3 linked regions of the Arabidopsis thaliana genome follow. The protein of the gene in region 1 binds, or shares a complex with, the protein of each later gene. Each region holds a gene or a part of one and is shown in the gene's direction. Other genes may lie near its edges.

Region 1 (8,300 bases):
TTAAGAGATCTTATGTTTGGCCTAAATGTGTAATGCTGTTACTTCTTTTGACTCAAAGACATGTTTTTGCTCATTAGTAATTCAGACTTCGAGTAGAAAAATAGATAATGGATTACAAAAACGAAAAATAAAATAAAGATGCTTCAAATTTAACCTAAAATAGTATTAGATCTTTGTAAGACACTAAGACCCAAGGATTAAACATTCTAGGAACTAAATTATAATTAAACTCTTGGAAAATTAAGATCTATTTGTTTAGGAGCTTTTAAGATATACATGTCTAGGCTTTAATGAGCTTTACGACCGAAGAAAATTAGAGAGCTTGTGATTTTGATCATGATCTGAGTGAGTCTCAAAAACTAAAAGGAGGACAATAAGGAAGATTCGGATTGAATTCTTTAAACTAGTTAACTAGGTTAATTGTTTTATGGGCCTGTTATGTTAAGTTAATAATTTTTGGGGCCTTTTATCTTCAACATATAAAGGGCTCTTCTATTGTTTTTTTCCAACTCCAACAACTAAAATACAAACAAATTTTGGACCTTTTAATTTGTGGACCGTAGCAGATGCCCATGTTTCCATGGGTGAGAGACGGACCTGAGGTGGTCGCAACTCGCAACCGACGTTCAGAGGGAGAAGCGGAGGTGGTGGTGGAAGCAAAGAGAGTTAGATGATGGCTGTGGTGAGGACTATGTAAAGTGTAAACATGTGTCACTTATCTTTGCTTATTTTACAGTTGGAGGAAATGCCGAAATTGTATGTACCAAGAAAATATACATGTATCTGTTTTTATACTTGTTTTAATGTCTACAGTGTTCGATAAAGATACCCTGATCAACTTCATAATGTAACAAAAATGAAGTCATGTATCACCGTAGTGGAGTTAGGTTTGATGAATTTTAAAAATAAAACTAATTCAACTAGCTTAAAATTAATTATCGCCAAATAAGTACCAAACGTAGCCCGGGCTAAACCTTAGTATTTTAAATATGCTAAAAATCTATTTACAGATAGATGGTGCATCGCCATCAAGTAGCAAAATAAGCGTCAGCGCAATACTATCAACGAAAAAAGATGGTATGTTAAAAAAAGGTTTCTAGCTACTACATATTCGATTTAAATATTTATCAAAGTAATAATAATCTACAATGTGATTTACTGATCATAATGCGTGGAAGGTGGAACCTATTATATTGTTAATACTTAACAATATTATCAAAGTACAATAATGTGATTGCTGATGCATCGTGACGTAAAACAAGAACACCTTCAAAGTCAAACACCAAGAGAGATTGTCGTTACATGTGTTTTTAATGATATATAAGGAAGCTTCATTATTTTGGAGTTATACAACGACTTTCATTCAGTCACATTTAATATATATTTGTTGCTTAATCGTGACACATGTCGAATTTATTTTATTTTTTAGTATTTAATAGTTTTATATTTAATTGGAAGTTTCCATTTCCTTGACTACGCCATAAAGATACACAAAGACTCTTAACTGATCCAGATCATTGAAGTAACCAAGGGTAAGTAATTGAACTGGCCATAGTTAGTAAAAGATTGTACCAACCGTTTCTTCATTCTTAGGAGAGCAAAAAAAACTAGTCGCAGTGTATTCTTCTTCTATGACGACTAGACGAGAGTAGTGAGTCGCAATGTGCTTTGGTAGGGCATCAGCTAAGAGGAATACACATATTTTTAAGTTGCTTTCTTCCAAGGTACAATATTTGACATATATATGGACTTGTAAACTTACCAGATTTTCTGATCATGTAAATAGTAGCTTTCAATGTCCTCGATCACAAAGGCCATGAAGTGTAGCATTTTGAGAAATGGTCATTCCAAATCTAAATGGACTTTCTCATTGAGTTGTTTGAAAGAAAAATAATCAATTACACCACCAATTGATCGACCAAGAAAAATGTTTGGTGAATAATAGTTACCCCAATTTGTGTTTTTTTGGGCAAAAAAGTTGCCCCACATTTATATTTTAATTTTGATGCCTAAATTTCGTTGATCTTAATTAGGCTTTACCGCACTGTCCTGACAGCAGTCAGCATGCGACTAGAATGTGACCAATTGTTTGTCCGAAACCGAAGATTACTCATTCCAAACTCCCAGTCTAATTGGAGGTTGTGTCTTGATATCTAATAACTTGTTTGATAACCATTATAAGGTCTTTTGCTTAGGTTTTACGGTCCATAAGTTACCAATGTATCCTATGATCAGGACGACTACTACAGGTTCAAGATTTTGAAGATATAGGTCATACACTAGATTTTCTTATTTATAATTGTATAGTTTAGCTTAGTCACCCGGGATCTCTCATCGAATGAATCATCCTATTTAAATAATAGTCAAGCGGAAACCAATAATGAAAGATTATATTAAGTTATGAAAACGTCAATAATAATCATGATTAAGATAAGATCGAAAACACCATTTGGATGATTAGATCTATCTATATAGTAAAATAAAATAAACATTATCAACGAGGCCTGGTTGTGGCATATTAAAAACAAGACATTAATGAGAGATCAGTATCGCTATAAAAAACGACACTAACATATAAATGAACCATCCTAAAATTGTTTTCTTAATCAAGACAAAAGAAAAAAAAGAAAACTAAAAACCAAAATGTCATTGCAAAAGTTTCTCATGGGGACACGTTGCTCCTAACCACCATCGTATACAATAGTTAAATAATTGTATACTATCTTAGTGGGATAAGTAAATGAAAGTTTATTCAATAAATATTAATATCTTAAACGTCAATAATACCTAAAGTAAGATCCAAAAACTCGATCTGGATCATTACTATAGAAAATTAAAGAAAATGATTAACGAGGCCTTGTTGGCATATCTTTTTCTTTTCTTGTAAAACAGATCTGGTTGCATATTTGAAAGTAGACATTAAATGAGAGATCCGTTGATTATGGAAGATTAAATGTTAATATTGTTGCTCGTTAAACACGAGAAATATTATTAAGACGAAGGTGCAACAATAGATGAAGACTTCAGTTATAGGACATACACGATTTTTTTTTTTTTTTGATAGGATACACTATTTATTTAAAGGCACGTTTTTATTATATGTTCCACGCGTAATATAATATGTTCCAAACTTTGAAAAATAAGTAAGAACACACCTATATATAAAATAAATTTATTAAACAAATATAGTTTAGTGACTTATTTGTCATTACCAAACAATCAAAATCACTATATAATTAAGAACTCTGTTTAGATGTAAACAAATCATCACAAACTTGTTCTCTTCCAAAAGACCAAAAATTAGAAACCATGGCATTGCAAAAGTTCCCTCTCCTGGGGCTTCTTTTTCTCATAACCATTGTCGTCTCTTCGACAATAGCCGTCGATGATCCTGTGTGCCCAACGACGTCCAAACTAAGCCGAGCAAGTTTCCCTAATGGGTTTGTGTTTGGCACAGCTACTGCTGCGTTTCAGGTAAACTGTGAGACATCAAAATGAATTATTTACTACACTATACTTCAAAAATATGTATTAGTGTTGTGTCTCCATCAAAATTCAAGCCTAAGTCCAAATGCTGAATTCAAACATATGTTATTACCTCAACTCATCAGCTATTTTCGTTATGTCATTAGGTTGAAGGTGCAATTAATGAAACTTGTCGTGGACCTGCTCTATGGGATATCTTCTGTAAGAGAAATCCAGGTGAGTGTATAATCTATATTTTCTATACAATATCTTTAGATATCTAAATTCATTCACTTTTTATTTTTAAATTACAGAGAGATGTAGTGGCCACAACGCCGATGTGGCCGTTGATTTCTTCCATCGTTATAAGGTAAATATATATATGTATTTTGAATCTAAATTTAAAGTATATTCAAAAGAAAAAAAACATCTTTACAATAAAGTGCCTCTTGTTTGAAAAGAATTTTGAGAAAATTAACTCAGAGGATGCTTACAAAACTTTGAAATGGTTAGACCCTTGAGAGGAGCCACACTGTATATATAATATATTAATATAAAGTTGAGGTATATATTAATATAAATTTAAGGTATATATTAATATAATTTTAAGACAAATATAACTTATATTTTATACTTTTAGTTTGCTGATATTATACGAGATATTATTGAAAATTTGTCTCGTCTTAAAAATGTTTGTAGGAAGATATTCAACTAATGAAGAATCTAAACACAGACGCATTCAGACTCTCAATCGCATGGTCAAGAATATTTCCTCGTGAGTATATGTCTGCAGATCTCTAGTTTGATTTAGTAATCGAATTTGGTGAATTGATATATAAATCAATAACTAATGAATTTTACATTTATTGACTAATCAAACAAACTAACGGGTTTTTAGATGGGAGAAAGGAGAAGGGAGTGAGTCAAGCTGGTGTGAAATTCTACCACGACCTGATCGATGAGCTCCTTAAAAATGGTTATATACATATAAACTAATTAATTAAAAAAGACAAGAAATATAGTATCATTATTTAACATTTCTATCTATTTTTACATTGTAACTAGGTATAATTCCGTTTGTGACTGTTTTCCATTGGGACACTCCACAAGATTTAGAAGACGAATATGGCGGTTTCTTAAGCGAGAACATTGTGTATGTTTTTGTAAATTGAAACAAAATACATCTAATTAAATTTTATATGGAAATTATTAGTTTAATATCATTTTTTGCAAAAATACAGGAAAGATTTCCGAGAATATGCAGATTATGTTTTCACTGAATACGGTGGAAAAGTGAAAAACTGGATCACTTTCAACGAGCCATGGGTCTTCGCTCATGCAGGTTACGACGTAGGCAAGAAGGCGCCAGGACGTTGTTCTCGCTACCTTAAAGGTTGTGAAGACCGAGATGGACGATCAGGTTATGAGGCTTATCTAGTTAGTCACAACCTCCTCAACGCTCATGCAGAAGCTGTTGAAGTTTTCCGCCAAAAGGTAATTTACATTAGATATATATATCAAAATTAACTATCAGGTTTTGGATATGAATATAATTTGTTTTGTGTTGTGTTAATGGACATTTTGTAGGTTAAAGGTGGGAAAATTGGAATCGCACATAGTCCGGCTTGGTTCGAACCACATGATCTTAAAGATTCAAATGACGTTCCAACTGTTAGCCGTGTACTTGACTTTATGTTGGGATGGTAGGTATATACTTTGATAAAATGGGGTCTTGTATACAATTTCATATAATTGATGGAGTTTTGATTATTATTTGTAGGCATCTAGACCCAACTACTTTTGGAGATTATCCACAAATCATGAAAGACCTTCTTGGTCACAGATTGCCCAAATTCACTTCTTCACAAAAAGCAAAATTGAAAGATTCGACCGATTTCGTAGGGCTTAACTACTATACTTCAACATTTTCAAACCATAATGAAAAGCCAGATCCGTCTACACCAAGTTGGAAGCAAGATTCTCTTGTTGCTTGGGAACGTAAGTTTTTTTTTCCTTACATGAAACCAAACCAAGAAACTAAGAGAAAATGTTTTCTTTATAATACTAATTGATATGTATACATTTTCACTTTTAAATTTCAGCTAAGAATGTAGATCACAGCGCCATTGGTAGCCAGGTATGCGTTAAACTAAACTAGTCCTAGTTTGAGATTGTTTTAACAACTAAACAATTAAAATATTTCTCTCAACGACATAACATCTATCACCATTGTTTTATTTTCAGCCTCTTACCGCTGCATTGCCCGTCTACGCTAAAGGTTTTAGAAGTCTTTTAAAGTACATCAAAGATAAATACGCAAACCCGGAAATTATGATCATGGAAAATGGTAACTCGAGATTTATGGTTACTGTGTGTTGATTTAGTTTGGAGTTAAAATATATATTCATCTTAATGTTGTTGTTTTTCTAGGATATGGAGATAAACTTAAGGACAAAGATTCGGTTGAGGTTGGTACTGCTGATTATAACAGGAAATACTATCTTCAGAGGCATCTTCTAGCTATGAACGAAGCTATTTGGTAACCGTTTACTATTTATTTATTTAGAGAACAATTCTATGGAATGATCTAATCAAGAAAATTTGTGTATGTGCAGCATTGACAAAGTGAGAGTTACGGGATACTTTGTATGGTCATTATTAGATAACTTTGAATGGCAAGATGGTTATAATAACAGATTCGGACTCTATTACGTCGATTTCAAAAATAACCTCACACGTTATGAGAAAGAATCAGCCAAGTACTACAAAGATTTCCTCGGTCAAGGTGTTCGTCCATCCGCGCTCAAGAAGGATGAGCTTTAAGTTATATTTTGAGGATTTGGTTTTCTGTTCAATGCTTCTTTCCTATGTTTTAGTTTGTGATTGATCATGATTCATGAAGTCTTGGTTAATAATAATAAAAGTGTTTTGTATTCCTTCAGTTTCTAGCTTATTTGACATGATCAAGAATGCTTTAGTATAAATATATTATCCTTATATGAAGGTATCTTTACCTTCAAAACATGAAGAAATATTGTATTATATATATTAAAAAAAGTCTTAAATTTACAAAAGGACTGATGTTTTTAAATATGAAGTAAAAATATCATAGTTTTTAAAATATTGAAAATACGAATTTACCTCTATTTAAAGAAATAGATTATGCAATAACTAGACGTCGTCTTAACAACTAAATCGTGCAAATATTTTAATGACTAATAACTTCAACAACTTAAACCGCTTGGCGATGAAATAAAACAATGGAAATAGTTTAACATTTTTAGAAAATCACCATGATTTGAGATCGGATAAGATGTCACACCGTAGCTACAAGTTTGAGATTAATCTTTCCAAACAATTTAGATAAAATCAAGTTACATAATTTGATATCGGATAAGATAAGACAATGTACATAAAAATGAACACAACATAATATCAGCAAGATGGTTCTAATATAACAGATTGGGATTCTACTACGTCAATTTTAAAAATAATCTCAATGTTATGAGAAACAATCAGCCAGGTATTACAAAGATTTCTTTGGTCAAGGTTTTAAGGCCCTGTTCGTTTCTACATTTGATAGATCCATCCAACTGATCCATTCAACATGTCTATTTGGATGATTTATTTAACTCTTGTTCGTTTCATTTTTAGTCGGTTCATTTGACTGGACCATCCGAATGAGATGTTCGTTTGCTTATCTCTATCTCCATCCAAATGATTTGTAATAATACAAATACCTAAACTACCCATGCTTTCATCTAATTATATTTTTTATTATTACTTGTAAACATGTTAATTTTAATTCTTAATCTAAAATATATTTAAAAGTAAATAAATTTCAAATAATAGTTTTTTACATTTATAAATTTATTTTACGGTTTTGGCGGGAAAACGTGGTTTTACAGTTTTGATGGGAAAACTCGATTTTACGGTTTTGGCGAAAAACAAAATTTTACGGTTTTGGCGGAAAAACGTGATTTTACGTTTTTGACTAGAAAACGTGATTTTACGGTTATGGCGGGAAAAACTCGATTTTACGGTTTTGACGGACAAACGTGATTTTACGGTTTTGGCGGGAAAACACGATTTTGCGGTTTTGGCGGGAAAACGTGATTTTGCGGTTTTGGCGGGAAAATGTGATTTTGCGGTTTTGGCGGGAAAACGTGATTTTGCGGTTTTGTCGGAAAAACAGAATCTTACGGTTTTGGCGGAAAAACAAAATTTTACGGTTTTAACGGAAAAAAAAATAATTTTGCGGTTTTAGTGGAAAATTTAATTTTTTATTTTTTAAAAATAGTTGTAAAATAAGATTTAAGTCTATTTGTTTTTTTATCGAAAAAATACATATAAATAATCAATTGAAATAATTAAGGTATTTTTGTTATTTGTTATTTTTGACTGGATCATCTCCATCCAAATGATCCAATTAAATTCAGCCAAATAAGTTTCAAAATTTAGCTTAAATTTTCAAAGTCATCCAGATGATTTATTTGGATAGATCATCTGAATGAACCGTTTTTGGCACCAAACGAACATCAAAACTCATCTCTATCTAGATGATCCATCTGACTGATGAAACGAACACGGCCTAAGTCCATCCGCGATAAAGAGGGATGAGCTTTAAGTTATATTTTGAGGATTTTTATTTCTGTTCAATAAAAAAAACAACTCAACGTTTATGCATGATGAATATTATACGTTCAAGATTTAGAAAAATAAAAAACAACTCAACGTTTATATATCGTGCAATGAAATCATCCAATTTAAAATATTTAATAATAGTCCTTCTGTATAACAACCACTAGTGTTCTTGTGGAATTTTTATTTTGTTT
Region 2 (7,155 bases), 4.6 Mb from region 1:
TAATACCATGTGTTTAATATTTGCCATTCTTAGGATTTTTCGTTACGAACGCATCGTGCTGCGGAGTTGGGACACATGATGCTTATGGTTGCGGTTTTCCTAACGTACATTCGAGGCTATGCGAGTACCAACGGTCTTACCTATTCTTCGACGGACGTCACAACACTGAGAAGGCGCAAGAGATGTTTGGTCATCTTCTTTTTGGAGCCGATACAAATGTTATCCAACCGATGAACATCCGTGAGCTTGTCGTTTACCCTGCCGATGAACCTATGCGTGAGTCTTGGGTGCCCCCAACGTCAGCCACCGTTCAACTCAGGGAGAGCCGCGGTTACGAGTATTACTGAGTCTCTAAAATCAATATTTAGGGATCGATCGGGGTTTCTATAAGGGTTATGAGTCAAATTATAACTGGATCAATATCGGAATCTTGAGTAGTTTTAATTTCCAATGTTTTCATGTTTCTCTAGTGAGTTTTCCTCCATAATAAAAGATTGATCTCTGCAACTCTTACCCCTTGCAAATCTTTTATTTAAAAGAAACAAAACTTTTACATAAATTTATTTCTTTTTTTTGTCAACCACATATTAAAAGGTAATTCCATAATTAAAAAAAGAAGGCACAAGAAGCGTTTTCTCATCATCTTATCTTTTGGAGCGGACCCAAATGTTATCCAACCTATGAATGTTCGTGAGCTCATTGTGTATCCTGTTAATGAGCCTATGCGTGAGTTTTGGGAGGATCCAATGGATGAGAATATCATCGTTAGTCCATGACGTCGACGTCGATGCTAGTGAATCTATCTAACTCGTTTAGTTCTTGAGCTCACTATTTTCCATCTCTATACCATGAACGAGCTCTTGGAATTTGAAATGCGCTGTTATTAATTTGTTGAGATTTAAAATAATAATGTAACCTCAACTCTGTTTTTTCCATAAGAAAAATCTCAATGAGTAACGTGATAAACCTGACAATATGAACCAAAGCGTGTCCAATGACCTGCTTTGTGCTCAGATTAGACAAGTTTCGGGCCACATGCACTCCATTAGAACAAAATGATAAATTTTGGTGGAATCAATTTAAGAAGGTAGTGGATTCAATTTGAGACCTTTTTTACCCTCTTTTTTTGTTTGCAATTATTCTTGCAAGGTAATATTCGAAATGATTGGCAACAAAGAAAATAAAAAGTAGAAATTATAAAGTTCCAGAAAAGATAAGTTTATACATCTGGCTTTGGGGCCGGCTATATTTACAGTTAATTTTCATATGAAATAAAACCAAAAATCATATATATAGATAATAGATGAACCAAACAAATGAGGCGTTCTTCATATAAAACTTCATCTTCACGTAAGCAAATGTGTTTTATTTTTATCTAGTTTCTGCACTCTTTTAGAAACAAAATTGTTCACCTTTCTGTCGTTCTAATGATTCCAATCAAATTGATAATTACTAGAACTTACAAACGAATAAGGACCAACTCTTCTGTATTTGATATAGACACTCTCTCAAAACTTAATCTTCTCTAATCTTCACTGTAAATCTTAAGGAACAACTCTCCACAAGTTTTTATAATTTATATATACATAACTAAGCTATTACCTATACTATTAAGATTGTGTCAACGCAAAATTGAGTTATTCTTTCTTATTTAAATTTGAACTATTAAAAATATGTAAATAATTAACGAAAATCTTTGTCAAAACACTATTAAGAAAATAATTTCAAAAATTAACATGATGATAAAATATAGATTGTTAATTGTTTTTTTTAATTGTTTTCAAGTAATTTAATCAATAATATGATGAGGATGATTAAGGAAATTACTATAATTTATCTTTTAAAGAATATCTTAGCATAGGTATGAGTTGTTTTTGCAAAATTTTAATAATTGATTTAAGTTATCTAAACGTTATTAAAATTATTATCCAAATTATCTATAATTATCCGAACATATTCGTCTCTTGTCTATTCTGGTAGTGATATTTTATGTATCTATATTATTCATATATCGTATCAGTATAATCTGACTTATTTAAAAATATCTATTTGATATGTATTTTGATATTAAAAATATTTTAATTCGAGTTGTGTACTCGTAAATTATCCAAAAGTTTTAGCAGAAATAAACATATCTACGTATATGTTGGTGTTGAAATTTTTTTGTTGAATTTGGCTAGTCAGCAAAATTTAGTTTTATGCAAATGGTTACTGCAGAAATTACTGAATCTGGTTTAGTGTTACCATTTACACCCTATATTTCCGTGAAATTTGTATGTTTAATTCTACTTCTTGCCTCTAAATGCACGATCTTTTCAGCACTTCGAAGAGGTTAAAGTGACTTTTACCCGATGAGAAGGGAATTGTGTGGCAGATAGAATTGCTAGGGAATCTCTTTCTTTTCTGAATTATGATCCCAAATTGTATTCTATATTGCCGGATTGGGTTAAAGCTTATGTGTATTCAGACTCTTGTGTAATTGTAAGTTGTTGTTGAACCAAAAAAAAAAAAGCACGATCTTTCTTGGTACTCGTAGTAACAATAGATATTTTGTTGAGAATTAAAAATAAAGTAGAAGAGAAACCAGTAATGCGTCAGACGTGATTAAGCGAACTATATAATATAATTGATCGATAATCGTTTGCTAGTGCGTTAAATAGGTGTATAGTAAAATGAACCTCGCGCTACACGTTATTATTTGTATAGTAAAATGAACTATTATTTTCATTGCCAAATTGTAGTACTTGCAATATAAATATAACGAATCGGTCTACGAGCTAAGGCACAAAAGCAATCTTCTTCTCTTTTCACAGTTCTGTTTCTCCCTCTCTCTAAATGATGGCAAACAACTGTAATTTAGTCAGTGTTCTATGTGTAATTTTGGTATTGACCCTCTTTCACAACCCCATCACTGTCGCCGGACAGAATAGTCCGGTGGTCGCCTTGTTCACCTTTGGTGACTCCAACTTCGACGCCGGAAACAAACAGACTCTCACCAAAACCTTAGTCGCTCAAGGTTTCTGGCCGTACGGAAAATCTCGAGATGATCCCAACGGCAAATTCTCCGACGGCCTCATCACTCCGGACTTCCTCGGTACGACTTCTTTTCTAATCGAATCCTACTCTAATCTTTAAAACATTAAGTATGTTAAAAATAGTATGATTACGTAAAAATAATCATAAACAGTAGTATTTATAAATGCATTTTAAGTATGCTACTAGTGAATTACTTAAAAAATAGTAAATAGTATGATTAAAAAAAAGATTATAAATGCATTGGTTCAGCGGCTATTCACTTTTCGGGACACATTCTATGAAATTTTATTTATTATTTTCGTCAACAGATTCGGAGATGTAGTACAAGGAATGATTTGATATTATATGAAAAACTAAAATATTTTTAAAATACAAAATGCAGCTAAATTCATGAAGATTCCGCTCGCGATCGCGCCGGCGCTTCAACCGAACGTCAATGTCTCACGTGGAGCTAGTTTCGCCGTCGAAGGTGCTACTCTACTCGGAGCTCCGGTGGAATCTGTAAGTAAACTTAATTTCTTATTATATAAGAGTCATGTATATATCTATAGTCAACACCTAATTCAAAGAAAATCAATTATATCTGTCTATTATTGACCCGGTCATACTAAGCGGGATTCTTTTTGTTTTACTTCACAGAAAAGCATGTGACTTAATATCAATAAGCTTTACTTTAATTGCACTTATAATATTGGTTTAATTTTTGTCTTTTTCTCTTTTTTGGTTCTTTAGATGACTCTGAATCAACAAGTGAAAAAATTCAATCAAATGAAAGCAGCAAATTGGAACGATGATTTCGTGGCAAAGTCAGTATTTATGATATACATTGGTGCAAACGATTACTTAAATTTCACCAAGAACAACCCTACCGCTGATGCATCTGCTCAACAAGCTTTTGTTACTTCCGTGACCAACAAGTTAAAGAACGATATTAGCGCGTTGTATTCATCAGGAGCGAGTAAATTCGTGATCCAAACCTTAGCTCCATTGGGTTGCTTACCCATCGTCAGACAAGAATACAACACCGGGATGGATCAATGCTATGAGAAACTCAACGATTTGGCTAAACAACACAACGAAAAAATTGGACCGATGTTGAACGAAATGGCTAGAAACTCTCCTGCATCAGCTCCTTTCCAATTCACCGTCTTTGATTTCTACAATGCCGTTCTTACTAGGACGCAGAGGAACCAAAACTTCCGTGAGTTGGTTAATTATCATGGTTTAATTTCATTTGTTTTAGTTTTATAACTTCTAATACCAAGTCATTAATATTTGTCATTCTTAGGGTTTTTCGTCACGAACGCATCGTGCTGCGGAGTTGGATCTCACGATGCTTATGGTTGCGGTTTACCTAACGTGCATTCGAAGCTATGTGAGTACCAACGGTCTTTCCTATTCTTCGACGGACGTCACAACTCCGAGAAGGCGCAAGAAATGTTTGCCCATCTTCTTTTTGGAGCCGATACAAATGTTGTCCAACCGATGAACGTCCGTGAGCTTACTGTTTACCCAGTCGATGAACCCATGCGTGAATTTTGGGTGCCTCCAACGCCAGCTACTGTCCACGCCAGCGACTCTAGCTCGTCCACTAGCCGCGGTTACGAGTATTACTGAGTCTTTTTAAAACTCAATCTTTAGGGTCAATCAGGTTTTCTACAATGGTCATGAGTTAATTTATAACCGAATCAAAATCGGAATCTTGATGTTTTTGATTTGCAATGTTTTCCTGTTTCTCTAGTGAGTTTTTCTCTATAATAAAAGATTGATCTTATCAACTCTTTCCACGTCCTGGAATTTATCGAGAGTTCATTAGTCTATCGATTTACTCTAATCTATTCGATATCTTATATTCCTTCTGTTCATTTTTGTTTGATTTTTTAGAAAAAACATAAATATTAAGAAAATATATTAAATGTTGCTTTTAAATGTATTGTTTTTTGTGATTTACAATTTTCAATAACTCTAAACCAATGATATTTACTAATTTGTATTGAAGTTTACAATTTATCAATTATAACTAATAACTATTGTATTAAAAATCTAAAAAATCAATATTTTTGAAATAATTTTTTTTCTAAACAATTAAACAAAAAGAAACAGAGTAAGTATAAATTATGTAAAAATATATGACTGATTCGTTTTATGACACCGAATTAAAATAATAAGCTAATTCCTTTTGGTTTCTTTTGACCCAACAATAAGCTAATTATAATTATAAAACGAATATGATAAAGTATCTTTTACCAGCTGGGAAAATATAATACTCCCAAACTGAAAATAAATATCATTACCAGTTGGGATTATTTTATTACAGTAAATACATATAGTGGGCATTAGTGATCTGATTTTGTGGATCATAAGCGACAGGAAAATAAAAATATAATAAGACCAAACAAATCTCATCCGCTAAATCTGGTCATAAGTTTAAGTATTTTTTTTCTATTTAAATAAGAAAAAAATGACGCTAAATCTGGACATAAGTTAAAACATACAAATTGAAATAGTATAATTTAAAAATCTCAATAATTGAAGCAACACACCGATCTTGACTTTATCTCTCCTTTATCTACGTTCAATGTTGATAATTAATTCCATAAAATAGTAGTAAAACGATTTGGATCCATCACATGATAAATATAGTAGATCCGTCTAATATGGTAACATTTTATTTGTCGTATATAATTGAAAAACTCAACTGTTTATATTACTATTCAACACGTTGGTGACTGCCGAAGTTTCTGGTTCACACTACAGTCTCACACATCAACACATATGAGGTCATGTACTTTCCAAATTGCAGTTTATACAATATGTAGAGAAAAAAATATGAGAAGACATGAGGAACAACTTTCAACAGCGACTAACCTCATCAAGGATATCGATCGAACAGTCCGATCTAAAGACTCACGGTAAAGGCAAGTTTGATGATGCTTTGTGTAACTGGTTTGCCACAAGACGTCTCTAATATTTCAAAATACAAACTGTTTTCCTAATTAAAATTTAAGCTCAACATTTAAATTTAAACAAATTATTGCATAATGTAAACAAAGTTGTTTTTGGTGAATCAAATTTACATTCGTACAAAAAAATTAACAATCGTCGTAGGGTTATTAATGGTTTTTCTCGCGCTGGCGGCTAATCTTCCCGTGCAAGAAAGGTCAACGCAAATAAGCCCTAATAATAAGGTTTCTGCTACGACATGCTTGTTTCTTGTGTCTATCTAATTGTCTTTGTACCTTAGTATTTCATCAAGTTTATTTACTTTCACCATAGAATTGTTCTCCTTTCCACACAAAAAAACTAATCGATTTTATTATTATCCTAACTCAAAAAATTACATGACTAACATTATTAGACAATATATAGTGACCTCGTCAGTTATTTTCATATACATACATATAGGCGATTTTTATGTAAGCCTAAGTTCAAATAAAGCTTTGAGATTATAAGGTCTAGTGACATTAGGCGGCCCGTTCCAAATCAGCTCTGCGATTTGTCGATGAGCCTTTTCCGTCAAATGAGAGGAATCATAGAACAAATAATCGGTAACGTTTTCGCATAGGCCGTAACCTTGCGACGGTCCTATTCTGTTTCCACACGTATTGATTCCTCTCAGTGGTCCGCTTCCACAACATGCCTTCTTCCCTTCCTTGAACCCTAAAAATTAACAAACATAACACAAAATGTTCTTAAAGGTAACCTATAGATCGATCTCTTACATATATGTAAATACCAAGTTTAGTAACCATATTTTGAAGGACTGTTGATTCTTTCGGAAAGAGAAGTGTGATAGTCATGAAGGGCGTATCTAAAACCCGATAATTGGCGTTGTAGCCGCCTTAAAACATCGGGAAACTTCTTGTTGTGCATGTCGATAAGCTCAGCGACAGGTTTGAAACAAGATCCTATCTTTGTTCGGTCTCTTATCAATGAATTTGGTGAACATTCGTACGGTCCCACGTTCAAAAATCCAAACTTTCTTCCTCCCATTTTATACACTTCCTAAGATCACATAACATATATATATAACTCAGTTTTAGAAAAAAGGTAAATATTTGAAATTATTTTCCGATTTTTGTTTACCTCGATAACGAATGTAATGTTACCGATAACAAA
Region 3 (7,771 bases), on another chromosome or scaffold:
TTTGATGTGTTTGTAACTTACTGTTTCTGTCAAATATGTCCAATAAGAATTGGTGTGCTCTCTTCAACTATTCAATAAATCTACCATGAGCCGTGTCAGAGTAGCTAACATTGAACACACAGCCCCACTGATGTAATGAAACTTTTTACCCACTATTTTAATTGCTCCTTGTAACATTTCAAAGACATAGACATTAGAAAAAGAAGCTTTCTCATTGTTGTCTTCCTCAAAGCCCAGATCTCTAAAGTGGTCTTACAAGATTTGATTATGCATATGTTGCCCAAATGACTAAAAGTAATCTTAACAAAAAATAATATTAAAAGTAATCGAAAATGAGTCGTCCTATATATTTAAGAAAATAAATATATATTTTTCCTACATATGAATCTAATCATGACTAAATATGTTTTTTTTCTCCGGATTTTCAGATTGGAGTTGCACAATTTCACCGAAATCAAGATGAAAAGTGATGGAAATTGCCATCTAATTAATATTTCTAATTCCTTTTACTCAATATATCAAATACTTGATGTCATTTTTTATCGTACTCATTTATTCGAAAATTTTCGGATCAAAGCAAATAATAAAATTAAGTATTCGATTAAAACGAATCGAATAACAAATATCCCCAATTTTCCGGATATTCGATTCGTGCCCAGGCCTACGTGGCACATATACAAGTGAAAATGAAATCATACGCAAATAAAACAATACCATCGGTATAAACATAAAGAAATGAACTATTTATTTTTCCTTAAGATAATTGTAAATTTCGTTTATTTTTTTAATTATGGAATTTTTTGCTTTTTCTTTTTCGTTCTTTTAGTATATTAAAGGATAGGATCATCATAATTCACAATTAACTGTTGGAGAAAGATTTTTTTTTTTGAGAAACGTTAAACCTAGCAGCCCTAATCTTTTCTAAGAGAGGAGATCGAGACTCTGTTCTGAATCAATAACCATCGATCAATCTCAACTCTAAAAGATGTCTAATACTCAGACCAAGTCGTTGTGTTTGGACGGTCTTAGTGATCGCGAAATACTTGAGTATAGGTATTGATCGATTCTTCTTGTAAACTTTGTTCCAATTATTTTTTTGCCTGATAATCTCTGACTATATATGTTATTTCTTATTCTTCCTGGATTTTCAGATTGGAATGGGAAAATTACACCGAAATCATGATGAAAAGTGATGGAAATTGCCAGGTAATTAATGTTTCTATATCAAACAATCAACTTGATATATATTTTTGATCGTATTATGAATAACCCTTTTTCATGTTTTTGTCAATAATTCTATTTCAGTTCCGTGCTTTGGCGGATCAACTTTATCAAAATTCGGATTGTCATGAACTTGTTAGACAAGAAATCGTAAAACAGGTAATATCAATCTTCAAACTTTTGATTGTTTTTTTCATACGTGTATTAATGTCATATGATGATTGATTGATTGATGACTCTCAGCTTAAAACTCATCCGAAGATTTACAAAGGGTTTGTTGATCATATGGACTTCTCCCATAAAGAACATGTCATTGTCCACTAATTCCCAATGGGGCGATGAAGTGACTTTGAGAGTGGCTGCTGATGTGTATCAAGTAAAAATAATACTCATTACATCAATCAAACTTATTCCATTTATGGAGTTTTTGCCCAAGTCTCAAAAGGAACCGGACAAAGTCATTCATATGAGCTATCTAGCTGGGATCCATTTCAACTCCATCTACAAAAAAAATAAAGAAAAAGGTTAACGTTCTCTTCCTTCTCCATTGTATATACATCTCATCTCCTTACTCTTGATTTGAGGCTTTGAGCAATATTGTATCATTCTTATTCTTCGTCTTGTTGGCTGCTTCAGGTTCACGTTCATCTTCATCATCGAGTTCTGCAGTCTGGATGAAGCTACAGAGGAAGAAGGAGAATGAGGCGAAGAAAAAGGAGGAGGAGGAGAAGGAAAGGAAGGACATGGAGAAGGAGGAGAAGAAAAAGGACAAGGAGGATAAGAAGAAGGATAAGGAGGATAAGAAGAAAGCCAAGGTGCAGAAAGAGAAGAAGGAGAAGAAGGAGAAGAAGAACAGAAATCACCACTTTCACTATTCTGAATGATTTGTTTTGATAAATTAAGTGTATCTGCATTTGACAAGTTGTATGTTATTATTGGGATCATTGTGGTTGTTTTGACTCTTTTATGTTCTTTTCGAGCTTATTCTAGTTTTGAGCCTTAGATACTGATAATCATAAAACACAACATGATAATGTGAAAGAGTCATCATGACATAACATCAGCGTCCCAAAATAACTTGACCATCGTCTCCATGGTATCCAACCGTCGATCCTCAACGACTCCAAAAAGCAAGGACATGAATATATGATGATGATAAGCCAAACTTTTGCATGAACACAGTTTATACAAAATTTAAATAACTGTTAAATTCATTTGAAACTTTAATGAATGATATTTCTGACAGTAACTTAGGAAATAAAGCTTATACACCGTTTTAGTTTGAAGATAATAATTCTAAATCTGTTTTCAAAATGTGCAGTCAAAAAGATTCTTAATACTAAATAGGAGATTTTGGTGGGAATCGCAACATTAACATCATCAAATTTGTTTTAGTTAACAATATATTGAATTTGGTTTATGCTGTTTTGATGAATTGTTTTGTTCATCTGTCGTACTTTAAAATATCTCTGCATCTAGAAAGTTGTATGCTATTATTATATATTGCACTCGTAATGGACTCTAATTATTTGTTGCATTTGTGAGGGAGTCTCTCGTGTCACACGAGTTGATTATTAAAATGATTAATTAAAGACAATCAAGAAGACCTTGTATGCCAAAGATTGTCAATAAATACACACAATTCAATACCCATAAGCTTCATCTCCTTCCATCATTCAGAGCTCAATAATTAACTGGTTATCTCTCTCCCTTCAATTTTTTTTTTTTTTTTTTTTTTTAAAGTAACTCCTAGTTTCCACTACTATGTATGTTGCTTCACAAAATGTTTTTAAAACAAGAAGTAGCTCTTTATATGTAGATATGTATTCTTGAATATATTAGATTTAACAAACACTTTTAAACCTAATTGATTGATTTATATTACACCACATCACCAATAATAGAGCTATCAACATCAAACAGTAAATATTTACCCATGATCAGTTGATTGTTCTATTTGTGTTTCTTGGATCATTTTGGTGTTTTTGCTATGTATTTGAATAGGCTATACAGTGTTATCATGGTATTTATGTATTACTAACCACAAACCAGCTTTAAAAACTATATATAAAGCTGTACATATATACTTTCGTTTTTGGATTATCTATATAAGAAGTAATTTTTGCATTTTACAATATTTTTTAGATTCGAAATGGCGAAGATGTACCGGAAGTTGGCACTCTGCGGTGGTGAGGGAGGACAAGAATGGGACGACGATGTATATGAGGGTGTAAGAAAAGTGTATGTAGGGCAAGATCTCAACCGTATCACTTACATCAAGTTTGAGTACGTGCAGGAAGACGGCGAAGTAGTAACAACTGAATATGGGACAACAAATCAGCACCCTAAAGAGGTTCTCATTGCATTTATTCTCACCCTTAATTTTTTGCGATACTAGTAAATTACTCTTGTGAATTCGGATTAACGTTGGATAAATCCTTTAAGACATAAACAAGAAGAAGCAAGTATTTCTGAGGCGGATACCCTTTAGTGACTCTCTAATTTTTTTGTATTACACTACTTGTGTAAATGAATAAGACACAAACACTAAGACAACGTTATAAAACCAAAACTCAGATACTGTATATTAGGACTAGGAAATCTTGAGAATTATCCTAAACCTATCAATATTAAATACTATAAATTTTATTGAATATATGTTACTATTACATACAGTTTGTAATTCAATACCCGGACGAACACATCATAGCAGTGGAGGGAAGTTACCACCAAGTGGCTCTCATTGCCACAGAGGTGATTACGTCCCTCGTCTTCAAGACCTCAAAGGGTAGAAAGTCTCCATTGTTTGGTCCAAACTTACTTGGAATTACGACCGGTACAAAGTTTGTTTTTGAGGATGAGGGAAAGAAGATCGTAGGGTTTCATGGACGGGCAGGTGATGCTGTCGACGCTCTTGGAGTTTACTTTGTATTGGATACCACGCCGTTCCCTCTTTACAAGCTTGATGCCCAAGGTGGTACAGACGGGCGTGTTTGGGATGATGGTTCTTACGATGGCATTAAAACGCTGCGTATTGATCAAGATAATTCTCGTATCACTTATTTAGAGGTTGAGTACGAGAAAGACGGGGAAGCAAAAACATGTAACCATGGGGGGAAAGGAGATACACCATCCGAGGTAACTTTACTAGTTCTTCTTATACACGACTAGTTCAATAATTTCTCAAAAATGTTATAAATTGTTAAACTCTATTTATATGTGATCATTAGTACAACGACATAAATTAGGTTCCAAATATCAATGATTAATTATTGTGTTTGTAGATTCTTTGCAGTAGTATGAAGTATAACTCTCACACACTCCGGTTCAAATTTTTGTAGATATAATTGACACATGTATTTAGATCTCTTAAGACAAAAAGTCTTCTTATTTTGTTGCTTCTTGTTGCAGTTTGTGCTTGGTTACCCAGATGAATACATCAAATCGGTGGAAGCAACCTATCAGAAGCCAAACATTTTTAGCAATACGGCAATTACGTCACTTAAGTTCTTAACATCAAAGGGGAGAACATCATTCTTTGGGTATAATGTGGGTAAGAAGTTTGTGTTGGAGCAAAAGGGTCATAGGCTTGTCGGGTTCCATGGAAAGGAAGATGCAGCTATTGATGCTCTTGGAGCATATTTTGGACCTGTTCCTACTCCTACTCCCTTGATTCCATCTAAGAAACTACCAGCGATAGGCGGCAACGAAGGAGTTACATGGGATGATGGTGTCTACGACGGTGTAAGGAAGATACTTGTAGGACAAGGTAACGATGGTGTATCCTTTGTCAAATTTGAGTACAGTAAGGGCAAAGACCTTGTACCCGGAGATGACCATGGGAAGAAGACATTACTCGGAGCTGAAGAGGTCATTTAAAAACAACAATTTTTTTTTTTTTTTTTCAATTCATTCTAGATTATTTACACTTATCCTTTGTTGGTTTTGAATCTTTGCAGTTTGTGCTTGAAGATGGTGAATATCTCATGAACATAGATGGCTACTACGATAAGATCTTCGGAGTTGAGGAACCAATAATTGTATGTCTTCAGTTTAAGACCAACAAAAGGGAGTCAATGCCGTTTGGAATGGATTCTGGTAAGAAGTTCTCGCTTGGAGAGGAAGGCCACAAGATCGTTGGATTCCATGGACAAGCTAGTGATGTTGTTCACAGCATCGGAGTCACTATCGTGCCCATCACCACCACCGAGTGAAAACCAGTTAGTCATATATACTACATGAAACTTCCAATAAGATTGGAGTGTGTGTGTGTGTGTGTTCTCTTTACTATGTTACTTTTAATACGTGGTTGTAAGTTCAAGTAACTTACTGTGTGCTAATAATTCCAATAAGATTGGCTTGTGATTTCTTGTTATTTACTGCCAAAAAATTAATCTGGTTCTAAAAATCTACATGCCTATTAATTTCAATAAATCCCCTAATCAATTCTAGTTATTTTATTAGTTAGCATAAATAGAAAAAAAATACCACATTATTATTACAAATCACTAAGATTTATTAGTCCACATTATATTTTACTGATAATTATCAAAGCATGGTACTATTTAAAACCTCAAACAAGTTAGCAATTAAAAATCTCACAGAGACTGATTATCTTATTTGTTTTAATTAAGAGAAAGGCAAAAACAAAATTGAGTAATGCTTGCTTACCAAAATATACAGCTAAAAAAGACAATTTTAGGCCCACAATAAAAAACAATCAAAAAGGCCCGCTCCTTCAAAAAGATTTAAAAAGTGAACGGACTCAATTTCCCATATTACCCTTCATTGCTACTCGAATTTACGGAGAAACCCTGTTTCTCTGTCCTTACGCCTTTCTCTCTCCGTTACACTGCCGCCGTAACGCTTTCTTCCTTCTTGTAAAAAAAGTCTCTCCGTTTAACTAAACGCCGTAAAAAAACTCAGCTTTGATAATATCGGTTTTGATTTTTGATTGAGTTTCCCTCCATATCTCCTCGATTTCCGATTTTGAGGAATCAATCTCTCTGTTTATACGGTAAACTTCATAACTCCATCGATTTTTTGGTTTCTCTATTTTGAATTTCAAACAAAAAAACTGTTACTGATCCATATTTGTATTTGATTGATCGTAAATCCTCTGAAAATTTTCTTCTTTGTTTTCTTCGCCACTGAGAGACTCAGGTTCGATGCTCTGCTTCGTTTTTTAAGGTTTTTTTAGTGGAAAGGTTTAAAGGGTAGTTATGTCTTTTTGACTTGTGTTACGACTCACTTCGATGTTTATGGATCTGTCAGAAAAGCTCTGACATTTTCTTCATTTTGATCGTAATTTGTGGCGATCTTGATCTTGTTTTCTATTTTTAAACCATTATATCTAAATCTTCAAAGCTAAAAATAAAGATGCTCTTGAATTATTCTCATCGAGCAAGTGTTTAAGTAAGACTTCACTTTAGAACACTCTCTGCTCTGTTAAACCTTTGTGTTTCATGATTACTGTCTCTAATCAATGTCCCTTTCTATGCGCTGTTTTGCCTTTTGTTTTTTGAACAAAGAAGAAACCTTTTTCTTATTTTGCTTCTTTATAATTTTGATTCCAGCTGCACAACTCTAGTGAACCTTTGTTACCAATGAAGAAGCTTTTCTTTTTCAAGTCATCATCTGGTAATGGAACTGATCATAATAAACAGCTTCACAAGCAAAAAGATGATCACTTTCAACGATATTTGAATAGTCCAAAGGGTCTTAACAAGTCTCAGAGTGAAGTATCTGGAGCTGCTCTTAGACGAAGCCGTTCTTTGTCCTCTGCTGCTTTTGTCATTGATGGAACTTCTTCAAATCAGCATCGACTGCGGAATCATTCGTCACGGTAATAAATAAACTCTTCTTTCTATGACATTGTTGTTGTTGTTGTTATATTAAGTTGTTAATTTGTATGTTTCATCAGATGTTTAACTCCGGAAAGACAATTTAAAGAATATGGAAGTATGTCAACATGTTCTAGCAATGTCTCGAGTCAAGTCTTGGATCGTTACATTGATGGAGAAGAGCATTTAGAACGGAGTAAGCAAAAGAGCGGTTCTTTGCATAGTAGTAGTCTCTCTGGGAGTAGAAGGAGGCTTCCACCGCGAGCTCAATCTCCTTCACCGTTATCAGAGAGTGGCAAAGATAAACGGAAGTCTAAAGGTTTGAGGGATGCATCAGCTCGTTCACTTGCAAGAAGTGTTATTGAAAGACTCTCTCATAATACTCAGGGCAAGTCGAAGGCTTTGAGTTATGAGCCCATCAGAATACAAGATGTTTGCGGTAAAATTCTTGACTCAAACTCGGATGTTTTGGCTAATGTTGTTGTTCCTTTGACTGAAGAATATGAACCTGTGAATGAATATTATCCGGACGACCAAACAGAGCTGCAGTACCAACAGTTTTTCTTACATGGGAAGGACATGTGTAAGGAAGACGATGTTAGTTCAGAGCTGGAAAAGAGATATAAAGAAGCTGAGAAGAGAGTGAAGTTGCTTTCTGAAGAAATGGAGGAGAAGAAGTTTCTTTCAGATTGTGATTTCGATATTTC

Evidence for each region. Proteins that work in one complex are often made in the same cells at the same time.
Region 2: BGLU22 (region 1) and GLL22 share a complex: the UniProt entries of both Arabidopsis thaliana proteins name them as parts of the PYK10 complex.
Region 3: BGLU22 (region 1) and JAL22 share a complex: the UniProt entries of both Arabidopsis thaliana proteins name them as parts of the PYK10 complex.

What each region holds. Positions count from the first base shown.
Region 1 is NC_003070.9:24,704,747-24,713,046, reverse strand, and holds BGLU22 (Glycosyl hydrolase superfamily protein), read left to right. Parts: upstream 1-3,050; 5' UTR 3,051-3,309; coding exon 3,310-3,474; intron 3,475-3,632; coding exon 3,633-3,702; intron 3,703-3,779; coding exon 3,780-3,835; intron 3,836-4,164; coding exon 4,165-4,240; intron 4,241-4,363; coding exon 4,364-4,441; intron 4,442-4,530; coding exon 4,531-4,618; intron 4,619-4,706; coding exon 4,707-4,959; intron 4,960-5,052; coding exon 5,053-5,168; intron 5,169-5,245; coding exon 5,246-5,463; intron 5,464-5,567; coding exon 5,568-5,602; intron 5,603-5,709; coding exon 5,710-5,812; intron 5,813-5,895; coding exon 5,896-6,004; intron 6,005-6,080; coding exon 6,081-6,288; 3' UTR 6,289-6,535; downstream 6,536-8,300. UniProt on the Arabidopsis thaliana protein: Beta-D-glucosidase active on scopolin >> esculin >> 4-MU-glucoside. No activity with DIMBOA-glucoside, pNP-glucoside, oNP-glucoside and sinigrin as substrates.
Region 2 is NC_003070.9:20,152,046-20,159,200, reverse strand, and holds GLL22 (GDSL-like Lipase/Acylhydrolase superfamily protein), read left to right. Parts: upstream 1-2,680; 5' UTR 2,681-2,835; coding exon 2,836-3,094; intron 3,095-3,418; coding exon 3,419-3,537; intron 3,538-3,768; coding exon 3,769-4,237; intron 4,238-4,324; coding exon 4,325-4,653; 3' UTR 4,654-5,047; downstream 5,048-7,155. Other genes in the region: AT1G54010 (GDSL-like Lipase/Acylhydrolase superfamily protein), read left to right, coding at 34-347; GLIP3 (GDSL-motif lipase 3), read right to left, coding at 6,449-6,696, 6,786-7,041, 7,123-7,155.
Region 3 is NC_003071.7:16,411,926-16,419,696, reverse strand, and holds JAL22 (jacalin-related lectin 22), read left to right. Parts: upstream 1-2,851; 5' UTR 2,852-2,918; intron 2,919-2,959; exon of another isoform or gene 2,960-3,366; 5' UTR 3,367-3,373; coding exon 3,374-3,574; intron 3,575-3,897; coding exon 3,898-4,359; intron 4,360-4,632; coding exon 4,633-5,091; intron 5,092-5,180; coding exon 5,181-5,435; 3' UTR 5,436-5,663; downstream 5,664-7,771. Other genes in the region: AT2G39320 (Cysteine proteinases superfamily protein), read left to right, coding at 1,180-1,206, 1,306-1,380, 1,526-1,745, 1,858-2,105; AT2G39300 (CAP-gly domain linker), read left to right, coding at 6,828-7,066, 7,145-7,771. UniProt on the Arabidopsis thaliana protein: Inhibitor-type lectin that may regulate the correct polymerization and activation of BGLU23/PYK10 upon tissue damage.